2 linked regions of the Drosophila melanogaster genome follow. The protein of the gene in region 2 purifies or fractionates together with the protein of the main gene of each other region. This does not show direct contact. Each region holds a gene or a part of one and is shown on either strand. Other genes may lie near its edges. The genes, in order: retinin and His4r.

The links.
Region 1: the proteins of His4r (region 2) and retinin purify together in Drosophila melanogaster (affinity purification with mass spectrometry, with the first as the bait; one large-scale study listed by BioGRID). This does not show direct contact.

What each region holds. Positions count from the first base shown.
Region 1 is NT_037436.4:16,329,948-16,333,525, reverse strand, and holds retinin (retinin), read right to left. Parts: upstream 1,594-3,578; 5' UTR 1,547-1,593; coding exon 1,535-1,546; intron 1,476-1,534; coding exon 912-1,475; 3' UTR 737-911; downstream 1-736. Other genes in the region: CG13056 (uncharacterized protein), read right to left, coding at 1-108, 177-191; CG33060 (uncharacterized protein), read right to left, coding at 1,759-2,124; CG33061 (uncharacterized protein), read right to left, coding at 2,655-2,943, 3,004-3,276, 3,382-3,578.
Region 2 is NT_033777.3:14,623,601-14,627,238, reverse strand, and holds His4r (histone H4 replacement), read right to left. Parts: upstream 1,485-3,638; 5' UTR 1,424-1,484; exon of another isoform or gene 1,214-1,423; 5' UTR 1,190-1,213; coding exon 1,010-1,189; intron 946-1,009; coding exon 814-945; 3' UTR 635-813; downstream 1-634. Other genes in the region: CG7886 (uncharacterized protein), read left to right, coding at 1-229; put (punt), read left to right, coding at 1,994-2,039, 3,567-3,638. UniProt on the Drosophila melanogaster protein: Core component of nucleosome. Nucleosomes wrap and compact DNA into chromatin, limiting DNA accessibility to the cellular machineries which require DNA as a template.

The sequences.
Region 1 (3,578 bases), on a different chromosome or scaffold from region 2:
CACCTTGGCAAAAGTTGGTGGGTGGTGCAGGGTCATCAGGGGATGATACAATTGCAGATCGGCATTTCCAAGTGCCAAAAGGCAAAGTAAGAGAGCAAAGGATAAGTACTAAAGGACAAAAATTGTTTATTTTACATTTAAAATATTATTAAGAAGCCTAATTCCTCTTTGCTTACCATTCTCTGTGACATCTTCTTGCTTCAGTTCACTTCACTTGACTGTTGTTCGTTGGCCATTCCATCCTCCGCTTTTATAGTCGAGCTGAGTACTCAAGATTGGAGAATGGACTAGCCATTCTAAATGAATGGTCCCAGCCCTTGAACATGAGAACATGAGCTTGGGCGTTAACCCAGACCCTGTGCCAGCCTAATCCTCCAGAGATCTTGATTGCACACAATTTGAGATTTCGCTGGGAACAGGGGGGCGGATGTGGCATATTTATTGTGGTCGTGGGCTGGTCTCTGTGTTAACTTTATTGATTTCCTGTCGCACCAACAACGCCCAAGAATCCGAGCCAGATAAGTGAAAATGCAATGGGTTCGTAATACGTAAATGCAGGACAATAATTTTACATAAGATGGGTAAAGACATAGATTTGACTGGGCTAGCAAATTTGATTGAGAAGAGGAAGTTTTAAAAAGTTACTCAAGCCATAATATACCCTTCTTTTTGGTTTATTTTGGAAATGAGGTAGGAAAAGAATAACCAATAAGCAAAGCACAAAAACCTTTTAAATGCAAATGCGAAATCTTTATTGAAAGCACGCTACAGAAGAAATCTACAGAAAATGGCAGAAGAAAGAAGACGTAGAGGAGAAAGCTTTTTGTGGGTTATTAGGTCCAGAAAGGGAGTTAAGAATAGAAGTATCATAGCTTTGGCGAGTTCATCGTGTTAATCTGTTGAATGGATCCTTAGTTGCGGATGAGAACCACTCGGGGATCGGAGGCCACGCTCCACAGAAGTGGTGGCTGCTGGCGAATCACCTGGGTGGTGCGAACAGCGGGTGCCACAATGGGTGTGACCAATCGGCGGTGATCGTGCACCACCGTCTGGGTCTGATGCGAAACGGCAGTGGGCACGTGCTGCACCACCTCGCCCACCTTGGCCACGGCTGGCTCCTGGATGGTCAATACGGTTCGTAGTCCATTACGAGCGGCCAGGATCAGAGGAAGAGGCACAGAGACGGGAATTCCGGCAGAGACAAGACGGCCACTAATCGGATCGGCACTGCCACTGGATGCGGAGGAGACCTGTTGCTCTTCCGCCTCCTCCTGGGATTGATCTTCCGGCTGGGCAGCGGATGAGCTGACGGACCCCGAACTGCCATCGGCCAACTCAACGGAATCCTCGCTGGCAATCGGAAGCAGCTGCGAGGACTTGACCGAACTGAGAGCCACAAGATTCGAGGGCCACTCCAAGCTGGCTGTATGCGAAGCTCCGATGGAGACCAGCACAATGGCCAAGACGGGCAGGAACTGAAATGTTGAATATATTGAATAAATTTTTCCCTCAATGAAAGTAAGAAATAATTCACCAATCTAGACATGATTATAGCAGTCTTCCTTTAGATCCGCAAACTGTGAAATGAATGATGCAGTTTGAGATTGGAATATCTGCTTTTATAGCCCTTAAATCGGTACAGAATCTCTTCGCCTGACTGATCAAAGAAATGCATCATTGCGTAAGCTTAACGTCGAATCAAAAACATTTAATTAGCTGACAATTTGAAATTTGATTGGGTTACATCAGAGCTATATGTTAAAGAATATTCTGCGGCAATGGAATGTCACACTTGTGCTTGTCGTCAAGCCAAAACTTCTGCAGATAACCGATGGGATCGCGGGGCATTTCCCGGGCCAATCCCAACATGCCCTCCATTAGAATGGGAACCACCTCCTGCTCCAGAAATATTCGCCTCTCTTCTGGTGGCTTGAAGCTTTTCGTTCGGGGACATTCTTTGGCCTGAAATTCTTCCGACCCGCCGTTCTTCTTGGGCTTGGCTTCCTTATTGGGCTTATCGCCATCTGGACAGAGGATCGAGATGATGGCAGATGGATTCTTCTTAGTCTTATTCGGACTTGGTTTCACATTCTTGCGGGTATTAACTTTTTTTTGGAGTGACATGTTGGTAAGTTATCTGTTCGAACATGGAAATATAACATGGAAAAGGGCAGATTAAACAATGCATGCTTTCTGATAAAAAATATATTATGAGGAATATTTTAAAAACAGTTTGGAATTACTTAACTCATATTAAGACTATTTATATTCATATCTAGCAAATTCAAGAAATCATTTCATTGTTTAGTTTTATAGTTTTTATTGAAATGCACGAATTTATAGTCAGGCATGAATTTTACTCGACAGCTGGGTGAGCACACTGTAGCATCCACTAACCTGTGGCCGTAACCGAGCACTTCCTTCGCTTTGCCCACTGCTCCAACGCTCCTCTGACCACCAGTGGGCGATTCTAAGCTGATTAGCATACGTAACCCGATCAAGCGAGACATCTGCTGCAGTGATCCAATCGCTTGGCTGGACGGGGCGGTAACTTAAGCCGCTTAGACCTGCAGCCCCAACACCCTAACCACCCAATCTGGCGGGGATGTGGAGAGCGTGTAGTTTGATACGATTGCGCAATGCACACGAGGGTCTCAATCAAATTCCGCATACGCCCACGTTCGCTGGACTTTAGGCTCCAGCAGGCGTTGGAAGAACTTGGTTAAATCCCTGGAGAGGCCACCAAAGAGGGTGTACCGTATATGTTGCTCCAATAGCCAAATTATATGATCCGTTCGATAGCACAGCGACAGGAACTTAAAGGCGGTGGTCATCACCAGTATGTAGACCATAAGTTGATGCCTGTTAATGCCCATAATTATTGGACTTTTATAGACTTCCAACATGAAGAGGAGGGAGATGAAAAGTGCAACTTTTGAAGTGCTGTAAAAAAGGAAATATTAAGTTTTCGATTTCATTATTTATTAGTTTAGTGTAACAGACTTGCTCAACTTCAGGTATGCCATCTGGTTGTGTTGACATCTATTGATTAAAAGACTCGCCACCGGTTTCAGTACTTCGGCTCCACTGCCCATGACGGTGCCAACCACTAGCATCGGGATTGGAGCATTTCCGTAGACCTGTGCCGCCAAATGGACTCCTCGATCGATCAACTGAACCTGGCTAATCGTAGACATGGCGGTGGCCAGGATGCGAAAGGCCAAAGTGCTGGTCACGGCGTGGGCCAGGTCAAAGGGACAGTAAAAGATGCAGTACCTTTTTGAGTGGAAACAAAGCTTCATATAAACAAAATAAATATGTTCCTCACGCACCAGTGAACTATGTAATTTTAATTTATTGAGCGCAATAGATCCCACTCACCAGATCAACGAACTGAGCATGACATCTGCGGTATTGCACAGTGGCTCCAATGGAAGACTACCCAAGAGCAGGTTGCCCAGTATATCGCCAGCGTAGTTCAGCAGCAGGTTGGCAAGCCACAGGACGAAGGGCTGCCACTCCAGCACCTTGTTTCCACCACCTTTTAATCTGAATGATCCTGCAGAAACTACCAGCTC
Region 2 (3,638 bases):
CGAGACGGAGGCGACGGACTCCACGTTACTTAGTAGCTCGAAATACTCCTCCATGCATGTCTTTGTGCGGCGCAAGCAATCGGAGTCCATGTCACTCACAGAAGAGGCCGGCGACGGAGATGCCGGCGGTGGTGGAGGCTCTGGCGATTTCGGCGACCAAAATGTCATATCCCCGGCCAATGTCTACATGTCCCTGCAGCTCCAGAAGCAGCGGGAGCAGAGCGCCTAGGGGTCGTGACTTTAGGTTCCTCCATTCAAAATCCCCGCAGCCATTCGCAGCCGGAGCAGCGACACCACAGCTGGCTGATACGCCGAGCAGTAACAACAACAACACCACTACCACCACCATCACACCCACAACAAAGCAGCCAACTCGATTCGATAGGATCCCCACTGGGAGAGCTAAATTTGCAGTCATACTCCCGGGCAGTAGCAGTAGAAAAGGGAACCTGCTCCTTTTTGCACGTCCTGCCATCTGCGAATTCAAGCTGCACCAAAAATGTACAAAAATATACTTTGGTCTTACTAATTTCCATTAAAGATTTATTATTTGTGTGCTCCCTAAGCGAGTTTGTTGGACCTTATTTTCGGATGATTAACCGCCCCAAGTCAAAATGCACATATGCATGATATTGAGTTCTCTATGTGATATCTTTTGATTTATTTAGTCCGTATATTGTGAAATTATAAAATATTTGCGTTCGGTTAAGTTTGCGTTGAATACTACTGATTAAGATTCAATTGGATCAAGTATTTTGAATGTAGTTAAGTTAACTCCATGGTTATTTATTATGTGGAGGTTAGAGGGCGTGCTTAACCGCCAAATCCGTAAAGGGTGCGTCCCTGGCGCTTGAGGGCATAGACCACGTCCATGGCGGTCACGGTCTTGCGCTTGGCGTGCTCGGTGTAGGTGACAGCGTCACGGATAACGTTCTCAAGGAATACCTGTGAATTTTCCGAGAAATTAATCAGTTTTTCACCACTTTCCCTTCGTTTCGCCAGAACGTACCTTTAGCACACCGCGAGTTTCCTCGTAAATCAAGCCAGAGATACGCTTAACACCGCCGCGACGAGCCAAACGGCGAATAGCAGGCTTGGTGATACCCTGGATGTTATCACGAAGCACCTTACGATGACGCTTGGCGCCCCCCTTTCCCAATCCTTTGCCTCCCTTTCCACGACCAGTCATTTCTCAGTTGCTTCGTAAAGTTGGCTGAAAAGAAGAGAAGACGCAATAAACTGTAAAGCGACGCCATGTTTGGTGAAAGGTAAACGTTCATTTGACAGGTGAAAACTGTTGTTAATAAGTCTGTTTTCATACAAAATAATGGTCTCCAATTATTTTTTTTATGTTTATGCACAAAAAAACTTTGTTGACCGATTCTTCTATTATTTACTTAAATTTCTCAGCAACAAAACTCACTTCAAGAAATCTCCAGAAAATTGCTTGTGAGCGTGACCAGATCTCGCACACCTCAAAATACCTTTCGCAAAATGCGCGTATCTAGTATTTCTATTGTCTCACTACCAGCCCTGGTCAGTTATCGCCTATCGGCCATCGCTATCGCCGCCCCGTTGCGACAAAAAAGATTTAATCGAACCGAAAGACGTGCTCGCACTAAAATCGCTTGAAAACAGGCCCGCAGACCTGCGAAAAACGAAAAAGTGCAGCGCGCATATACTTTTTCAACTGTGCCCCTCTAGCTTAAAATTAAGTCGCGGCGAAAAGTCGAGTAAAACCCGCGGAAATGCGCATGCAAACGGCGTGTGGCCAGCAAAATCGCTGCCAAGGCACCGCACACACACTCGGCCACCCACACATACACACTTAGTGCTGTACTCGAAAAGTGCGAAGACAACAGGAACTCTGTGCCAAAATAATATTAACAGTACCCAGTTATTCCATTCCACTGCACCTGTCCCCGAAACATCGAAATATTCGCGTTACGTATACGCAACGAGTGCTGTAAACAAGTTTGCACAGGCGATAACAATGTCCAAATACGATCTGCTTTATCTAACGGCGCAGCTAACGCTGGGTATGTATTGCACTGCGAGTGTGTGGGTGCATACTTATTGGCGCCTTAATTCCCAGTCGCTTTATTATGTACATATGTACATAATATTATATTTTGTCTCTGCCTTACGATTTTCCTCTGTAATGCAAGCCGACTTCGATTTATAACCATTCGTGCGTGTGATTTTTGATGATATGGGGTGCGTAATGCTATTACTTTATTAATATCACATGGCGCTTGAAAAGTTCATATATAGGGTGTATAGGCTTTGTGATAGCTTTGTCCTATTAACCAACACATCAGAACATCTTAAATTTTCAGAAATTAGGTATAACGAATGTAAATGCTAGGAATCAAATCTATTTGTGAAGTGAATAATGTATACACTAGATACTCTATTAAAGCACCAACAATTGTACTACACAAATGTAGTAAAATATCGTAAGAATTGTTGACAGTGGGTACTACGAATTCATATGTTGAGCGCCAAACGCATACTCGGTATAAATCGATCGGATACCTAATTCCCAATCTTAATCCATGTGTGTGTGCGCTGAGCATTTCTTTGAATGGATTTTGCTGCATTAGGAACTTGTTGTATGGCAGGTTCTGGTTTCTCCCACCCTTTTGCTCCACCGGCCTCCCTCTCTTTCGCTCGCCATAGCCCTCTCTCTTTCTGTGGCGCAGTGCGCTCTCTTCCCTGTTGCTGCTGTTGTTGTTGTTGTTTCTGCTGCTGCTGTTTCCTTTTTCCGCACAAGCGCCACTTTAAACCCATCCCTTTCTGTGTGCATAATGTGCCTGCTTATGTATCTACTTTACTATAAAGCATGCACGCTTACGAACACACACATACATGGCCAGCGATCCGATTACCTAAAGGACAGTGGGACGAAAAGTGTTTCAAAGGATTGAAAACAGTTTGCTTAGCCAATGGTCAAGAAATATCAATCAATATATCGCAGGCTCGTTGCAATAAACGTTTTCAAAATTAAATTTTTTGTATTTACACATTTAAAAAGTGAATTATCATTTTAATTTTTATCAACAAAAATTTCGGTATTTGGATGAGGATCCCAGATTAAATCGAATTAAAGAATGTAAATAGATTTTCAAGAAACCTTACTGCAGGCCCACTGTGCACTGCATATCCGTGCATTGGGGCCATGCCCACTCAAAGGCTGGTGTGTGGCCAGTGGGGCTAATTCCGTGCCCAAATGGGGTGGCTTTCAATGGCAGAGGCCCCAGCTTAGGACGCTACTCCTGCTACTTCTGGGCATGCGATATGTGTACAAAGGATAGCGCCCACAAAGAGCTCGCTGAGCGCCCTCCCTTTCAGTCTTATTCCCCAAATAGGCTCGACTTTATTTGCCCACCCTTTGAGCACTTCCAACCGATAATTCCATTAACTTTGATCTTTAACTACGTTTTAACTTTTTGAAAGTCTTTACTCATGTTTTAGGACTGCTCAAATATATACTTTAAATATAGATCAGTGCTAATCTAAAACTAGAAAGATTATTAATCTATTTTCCCATTGTCTTCATTTAGTCTGCTGTCTGATTGGAATCCATGGATCTATTTTGCCCGGAAGTCATGGGATCATAGAATGCGAGCACTTCG